2 linked regions of the Coturnix japonica genome follow. The protein of the gene in region 2 interacts with the protein of the main gene of each other region in a biochemical or structural test. Links are inferred from orthologs where the notes say so. Each region holds a gene or a part of one and is shown on either strand. Other genes may lie near its edges. The genes, in order: PTPN11 and KIT.

Region 1 (3,810 bases), on a different chromosome or scaffold from region 2:
CTAACAGGCTGCAAAACAAACGCAAGTCAAAGATATAAATCATTTTTAACAGGAATGCAGCTTGGACATTCGCTTTTTCATTGCTTAGAATCAGGGAAAAAACGGGCTAACATAGCTCTAATTCAATCACCAAAGCAACACAGAACTGCTCCCTTTGACAGACGGCCTGATGCATCTGTAGGCTTCGACATTTAGAGCTTTCAGCATGCTGCTTCTCTCTCAAGGTTATCTTTGGCCAGGGATGTATTCTACACACTGAAGGGTGGCTTAACCTATTACTTCTTTAATTTGGTTCCTGCAACAACAGCTCCTGTTAGCCTCGTGAAGGCTAACACAAAATTAGATGAGAAATATAGTGGGGAAGACAGATGCAGCTTCCAGCAACAGCAAACAGACCAAGCACCAAATACCATAGAAAAATATTTCTTATTAACAGCACCTAGTGCAGATTTACAAGAATATATGGGAACAAGGGAAGCTTCTTCTGCCAATAAAAGATACAGCATAAGATGCTTTGCTGTTGTTACTTTTGCCATTCTTTCCCTATCGCTGATTAAGTAACCAGACATAAAAGCATTGTACACAGCCAGAGCACACAGCAAAAAAAAAAAAAAAAAAAAGTATTCAACTTTTATGAACAGGGAATTTATCCCTTTTCAAATAGGCAGAATATTTGACTGCAGCACCCAGCTTTCCAGTGTCTCATTCCCTGAGTATTCTCACAATGCAATGATTCACATTCAGTAGCTAGAATTTAATCAGACAACCCTTACAAAAGGGAGGTCTTGTGATGCAATAGGAGTGCATCCTCAATTCCCACAGGCATCAATTAAGAACATTCAATACCTTACAGAATTAAGCTGCAAGTATCCAAAGACCATGATGGCACACTGCATTTCAGCATGTGAGTCAATATAACCAAGTCAGTTTAGATCCCACTTGCACACAAATGTTATGACTGCTCCAGAGACCAGTATAATATTGTTTTTACCTTTCCTCTTTCAACTTCTTTTGTTGTCATAACAATAACTCGAGAATTCTCCTGAAACACCATCCTCCAAAAATCATTCACTGTATTCTGCAGGCAACCTTGAGTAGCAATGTAGCTTTTTTTTGGCTTTGTGTTGTTGCACTTGGTTTCAAACTCAGGCTAGAGACAAAAACAATTTAAGAAATGGAGACAAATGCTCATTTTTAGAAGACCAACTTGGATTTAAAAGAGTAAGTAGGCATAGGTTGTGCCTGCAAGACTCATTTAGGTGGGGCATACTTACCATAATAATATTAGCATTGATATAGTCTGAAACAGGTTCATTTGGATCACCATCATGCAGAACAACTCTGGTATGATCAACTGGAAGAATATATTTATACATTAAGCAGTTGCATCCTACAATTGTGAGCATACAGCTATTTTTAAACATTCAACCAACAGGTACAATTCTTCCTGTTATCAGAAAGTGCTACATTGTGAAACTCTGCAAATCACTGCTAGAACACCCATCCCTTTTTCTGTTACTTAAAACAAGTTTCCAATCCATAACAACATAGATCACAAAACAAGTGTTTATCTGAATCAACGCAAATGGTCTCAAACACTGCTGGATTTGCACTACTCAGTTCTGTACCACAAATTAATCCTCTTAACTGTAAGCATTTCAGTTTGCCAAATGAAAGCATCATATCCCTAAACTGTTAAGTGAACGCTGCAGATAAACATTACAGAATCAAAATATCTGCAACTATAATGAGTAAATGTTTGAACACAGACTGGAAGCTATATGGACTAATACTGACAACATAAAAGAAGGACTTACCACTAAAGAGAAGAAAAAGCACAATGTTAAATTAACCCAGTCTTTTCCAGCTAAAATAATAAAGCACAAAAGTAATAGGCTTACACAAGAAATCAGTACTTACAGGGTAAAATGTTTTTGTATCTATTTTTGTTTTTGTTTTCTTGTCGCTGACCTTCTTTACGGCTATAGAGGAGTTTGCATTCTTGCTGCTGTAAAGTCTGCACAAAAACAGCACGAATAACTGGTGTCAGTAAAAGCACAAAAAAGACAAAGACCTGTTATAATGTTTCATCACTATAGAGATCCGTCCCTCATTCAAATGAGGACACTTGATTATAATAACAATCAACAGTCAGAGAATCGCTGGTTTACTCCATTCAGGCTACATACAGTATTGCTTTCAAAGTATGAAAAGGCACTGACACAAACAGAACACAGGTGTCAAGATTCTCTACCTGAGCTGTACTGGATTCCTCTAGGCCTTACTAGCTTTATTCCCCTCCTTCAGCTATTGCCAATCCAAAGCAGTGCCGCTGGAAAGCCCCTAAACCACATCCCTGAGATCCTTGCAGGCTGCAGCCAGATAATCTCCAGGCAGCCAAAGGGGAAGAAGGAGCTTACAGAAAACCCACCAAAGCACACCAACATAAGCAGCTGTCTCAGCTTCAAGGAAAGTGAGAAGACCTTCAGCTGTTAGAAGCATAATATTAAGATATTCTTTCCTATTCCCTTCAAACCACAATAGGATAAGAATATTCAAAACGCACATATGGCATTCGAAAGCCAGAAAGCAAATTAGCACTGAGTGCAACAACAGTACTTTGTAATTTGTGCCTTACTTTTCATAGAAAAGGTAATTAACCCTCTGAGTGAATCCTTTTCACAGACACAGCTGCTACAAAACTGGCTGACAAATAGGAATGGGTCAATACACCCAGGAGCAAAACGTGACTCCCTTTCTCCCATTGACACAAGAACATCTCACTAAGCCTGTACAGCCAAACATATTTTTCTCAGATTCCTCACATTACCATGCTGGTGGATTGGGGAGGTGTTAGGTAACTACCTACATGGTTATCCATAAATCATCCTAGTGCAGAAGCAATAAATCTGCATGGGGATTTTTCCCGTTGGCAAGGCCCTAATTTCTCAGTGTCTGGTTCCCAATTAATAATGACAGGGACAACAGTAATTCCATACCTCATAGCAGCACTGCTTAGTAGTAAATCCACGTACTTGCAATGAAGCAAAGGGGACAACGACCTCAGTGATTTTGCTCCAAGTTTTAATCTCAAAAGCAGTTTTGGTCTGACTAAAAGAAACACTCTGCCTTTGAAAGCTGCTCTCTTCACTAAGATCACCTTAATATTCCTCCACAGATTACTTTTACTTCAAAGTTCAGGCATGTCAGGCACATTTGCTCACTTCTATTTCAGTCTGTGTTATCATTCCCACCTCACTTAGTGACCTTGGACAGTTAAGCTCATCCTAAAGACAGGGAATCCAAAGAACAAAAGCAAAACAGAGCTGTGAGGTTTCACATACATAAAGCACAGAATGTGTATACCCATAAAGCATGTCTTGTCTGCATTAAGCCCAACTCTTGCCATAATGCAAAAATCTTTTAACTGCCATTATTACAGAGTGCCTTTATATAATATTAACACTTTTGAGTCTCTGCAAAGTGAAACGCCAAGCAAAGAACCAAAAGCTGAACTTTGCTAGCAGGTTAAAACATGGAAATAATTGTGTTGAAACAAGCTTCAAACACCTTTACTTCACACATTTAATGGTTACTGCTTTGAGCATCCCTGAGGAAAGATCCACGAGCAGCAAAGACTTCTAGCAAGCTGGCTACAAGAGGTACACAATGCAACAATAAATCTGGTACAGGAGTCCTCACTTTCTCTGTGCCATTCAAACACAAAGCTCCCCAGTCACTTTCCAGAAGTGTTACAAAGACTGTCAACATTTCTGTCTGACACTTAACAGGACAAGAGGCACATTCTTC
Region 2 (4,267 bases):
AGCCATTTTAAACATATAAGACAAGACTTTCATCTAATGGGGGACCATATGGGACTATGCTATTAACCTTGAAAAAAATCTGACAATAGTGAAAAAGGAAAGAAGTTGAGAAACAACACACACACACACACAAAAAGGGAATAATTTACCTTCAGTAACTTTTCTGATCTGTACTGCCATGTTTCACAACATCTACATCTATGTTTTTCCATGGGTAAAGGCTGTGTCATGTGTCCACTCCATCTTTCTGTACGGTGGGAGCTGCTGCCAGGTGTGACAGCCTGCATGATCCATCCCCACTTGTGTTTGCACACACCTGGGCAGCACACACCACATGTGTGGCACTGACAGACACAGCAGAGCCAAGGCATTAGTTGCTGCAATTTGTACGGTTTCTGCCTGCAGAGCTCTGCCTCTCTAGCTGCATATGCAAGTGCTACTGGATCCTCCCTGTCAGTTGTCTCACCCGTACTTAAAAAACTCCCTCTGCGGGTTTCCACCACCTCCTCTGCTCAATTTGTAGACTAAATTCGCCCTACTCTTTGCAAGTGCTTTCCTAACATTTAAGCTATTCCTTTTTCTTTTTGCCGAGAACTAAATGGATTACTTTTATCTTGCCCTTGAGGGACGTGAAAAACAATTGCTCGCAATCCTCTCTGTAAGAACCTTTTCCACGTTTAAGCTCCCTGTCAGCTTTCTCTTTTCAATACCAGTTCTTTCCATCTTTCCTTTTGTGTCGCAGGACATGCCCTGCATCTCACTTTTATACTCTGCCCGATGCATAGCGCCGGGTCAGCTCCATGCGGGTCCAATTCGCGATCCCCGCCGGGCAGAAGCACCGTCCACTGAGGCTCTGAGTGCGACACAAAGCGCTCTGCACCCACCTTTCGGGGGATGCATCCTTCTCCCCCGAGCCGTGCGCCCACCCCCACGCACCACGAAGCCTCCTCCCTTCCTTAAATATTATTTTATTTGGGTGAGCGGGTGTGCGCGCTGCTGGTTGGGGGGGAGGTAGGATTAGGCTCGCTCTTTTCACCGCCCCCTTCGCCACCCCCTCGAGGGGCAGCTCCTCACCTGCGCCCATCCCGGCGCTGCGGGGCGGGGGCCGCTCGGCGCGGCGCGGGGCGGGCAGCGGAGGCGGGGCCGCTGTTGGCGGCGGGGCCGGCAGTATTCCGTACTCCGTATTCCGTACTCCGCAGCCTCCCGCGGGGTTCGGGCATCTCTGCGCGCCGGGTGGTGCGAGCGGCAGCCGCGGAGCGGCGGGCTCGGGGGGGCGGCATGGAGGGCGCGCACCTCGCCTGGGAGCTGGCGCACGCCGTGCTGCTGCTGAGCCTCATCCCCGCAGGTGGGAGCCGCGGGCGGGCGCGGGGCAGCGGGGCCGGGGGAGGCTGCAGGGAGCGGTAGCGGGGCCGGGGGGAGGCAGCCGGTTTGGCTGGACGCGAGAAAAAGAAAAGCAAAAAAGAAAGTCCTTTGTTTGTGCGGCGCGGGGCTGGGAGGGGGGCCGGGAAGGTGCACACCCCCTGCTCTCCGAGCTGGGCTGTTTTGACAATAAACTCTCTCTTCATCGGTACAAAATGTCCCCGTGGTGAAGTGCTGCTGGAACAATAGGCGGGGGGCGGCCGCCGCCGTCAGGTGTCCGCGCTGCCCGGCGGGGCCGGAGCGCGCCCGGGTCGGAGCGGAGCCGCGTCGTTTCATTACAGCCGCCTCCAGGAGAAGGGTCCCCTGTCCCTTCAAGGGCACTGCGGACAAAAAGTTTGGTGTGTCTCTTGATGGACTCGGGGTTCCCTTCCCTGCAAGCCGGAGATTCCCGTTCCTGAGTTTCTTAAGTGCAACACAGAGCTGCGGCGCTGGATGGGTTCGCACATGGCTTTTGGAGCGGCCGTGCTGCTTACAGCACAGTGGCGCCCGAGGAGCACACGCAGCGCGGAGGGCGCGCAAGGTGTATTTCTGAGCTGTCAGCTCAGCGAGTGCTGGGGAGGTGCGGAGGGATGCCGGGCGCCGGGAGCCCACAGCGTCTGGCTTTGGTGTGAGCGCTTTGCCTGTGACGCGAGGCAGTCGTGGAGCTATCAGCGTTTCTGTGAATATTTTGTTTGGGTGATGTTCCTGTTTTGCTTCCCTTTGTTGATGCTCGCAGGTAGAGCGTGATTGCTGACGGTTAGAGCTTTCCTGTTCAGAGTATCCACACGCATCCGCACACACAGCACAGCAAAGGAAACACCCATCAGGGGGCTATTCCTTGACATTTGTCTCTGGAATGGGTTGCATTCATTCATTAATACCCACAAACTTTCCTTACTTCGAGTACTTGAGCATGAAGGTTTCCCTTCCTCTCTCGGTTGCCAGCTGGCATGAAAACTTGGGCAACTGTCAGTGTCCTAGAAGTCATGGGAGTACGTTGGGCAAGGAGAGACTTTCCTCTCCATCCTTCCTCTGGTTCTGGGTCTTTTGTGGTTTTGTAATTCTTGTTGTCGGGATTCCACATCAGAACATCATACAGAACAGTGGCAGTTAAAAGAGTTCATGTTCTGGTTCCGTGTTACATTTTGGGGCATTTTGGGTTCCCGGAGGGGAGGGGAGGGGCGGCATCCCCGGAGGACTTGGCACAAAGTGGAAGTGGGGTGGGACTCCGGACCGGACCCCAGCCGCTCTCTGCCTCTGGCCGTCTCAGCTCGCCGCGGAGAAAAGCACGTGCTTCCCTCGCACTGTCGTGGTTTGACTCGTACTTTGGGGACTTAAGTCTCTCTCGTTTTGTCTGATTTGGTTTCATTTAGTCAATCACCGTTCCTCCTCAGATCGTTGCCATTGTGTTTTCTCTTTGTTAAAACTATCTGCTGGCTCTCTGCCCTTCCCCCTCTCCCGGATCGGGTGGCTCGGGGCGACCGGGTCACAAGGCAAACTCTTTCCTTTTTTTCTTCGTTCCTTTGTCTCCTCTTTTTTATCCTTTTCCCCCCCTATTTCCCGGTCCTGTGCCCCCTTGTCATGGACTTACATCTAGAGATAACCCCGTGACAGGGTCAGACTTGTACCTGTGGGAGATGTGCCACCTCGCAGCCACATAAGACTAAGTGGTGTAGACAAAAATACACGGTGATGCAGGTGGAGGGACTTGCAGAAGACAGGTGCTTCTGGGTAGATGTGTGTAACACCTGTTTATCACACAGGTGTAGGATATTAGAACTAGCTTTGAGCTGCAGGAAGCATCACAGCGGATGCTTGTGTCCTGTTGAGGGGACACCAGAGGTGACAGGGAGGGCAGAGCTGTGGGACTGCTCCTGTATGTCCTTGCAGACACTTGGACTGGGTGAGCTCTCTGTCGTGTTGTTTACTCGTATGCAAACTTATATTAAGTATCTTTTCTTGGCTTTTAGTCAAGAGCTTCTTCTTTTGGTTGCAGATAGGAAAGGAGGATGTAGAAAACAAAGCTTTAAGTAACTTCTCAGAGAGTAAACCATTCATCTCTTCTATCCACAGCTCCTTCCTATTTTTTGTTTTCCTTGCATTTGCTTCCACCTTTCCTTCCATCTGGGGCTGCAGTTTTCTGTAATGATCTCTTCTATGTTCCTCTCCTGTCCCCTTAGGGCTCTCCCTGTCCCCAGTGCTCCACCAGAGGCTGTGCGGTGTTTCCATCCTATGGCCATGGAAGGCTGGGCAAGGTTCCTTTCAGCATCCATCAATCTCCCCTTTTGGCAGTCAGCTGCAGAGTAACAGGAGGCTCTCTTTGCCCAGAGGGAAGAATGTCTGTTTCCATAATGCTTCCCATACCTGGCAGCTGGGAGGGAGGACTGATGGAGGAAGATGGAACCTGGTGTGGGTTCATATGCTGTCGCTTAGTCACTACCCTGACCCCTCAGATCATCCAAATATCCTGCCCTCCCTGCTCCCCCATTTCTTTCTTCCTCCCTCTCCTGCATATAAATGTGGCCTAAGGCCACTGCCAAGAGCAGAATGGCGATTTCAAGGATTGCTCAATACTTGACTCTTTTCCTTCCGTTACAACCCGGAACCTCCAAGCAAGTGCCTAATTGATTTTCTCTTAAGGCTTCATGACAAAGGGTGTGTTAAATTTGGCAAGGATTGAGGCACATGTCCAGTCGAAGTACCATTTGCAGGGACTGAAGGCATTCCCTGTGCTTTGTTTGAAGGTAGAGCTTGCTGCCAGATGTGTGCAGCTGTGTAGTGCTTGGGTAACGCTGGCTCACCATGGGCTTTCCACCAGAAACTGATTGATTGTTGCCTTCTGGAATAACAGCGCTGCTTTGCAGGTGTG

Evidence for each region.
Region 1: the proteins of KIT (region 2) and PTPN11 form a complex in vitro, tested with the Homo sapiens proteins (3 studies listed by BioGRID and IntAct, with this or other methods). The link is inferred for Coturnix japonica from reciprocal best matches to the Homo sapiens genes KIT and PTPN11.

Annotation. Positions count from the first base shown.
Region 1 is NC_029530.1:5,551,176-5,554,985, reverse strand, and holds part of PTPN11 (tyrosine-protein phosphatase non-receptor type 11), read right to left. Parts: intron 2,018-3,810; coding exon 1,921-2,017; intron 1,355-1,920; coding exon 1,275-1,354; intron 1,151-1,274; coding exon 992-1,150; intron 1-991. UniProt on the Homo sapiens protein: Acts downstream of various receptor and cytoplasmic protein tyrosine kinases to participate in the signal transduction from the cell surface to the nucleus. Positively regulates MAPK signal transduction pathway. Dephosphorylates GAB1, ARHGAP35 and EGFR.
Region 2 is NC_029519.1:58,930,435-58,934,701, reverse strand, and holds the start of KIT (mast/stem cell growth factor receptor Kit), read left to right. Parts: upstream 1-1,170; 5' UTR 1,171-1,278; coding exon 1,279-1,345; intron 1,346-4,267. UniProt on the Homo sapiens protein: Tyrosine-protein kinase that acts as a cell-surface receptor for the cytokine KITLG/SCF and plays an essential role in the regulation of cell survival and proliferation, hematopoiesis, stem cell maintenance, gametogenesis, mast cell development, migration and function, and in melanogenesis.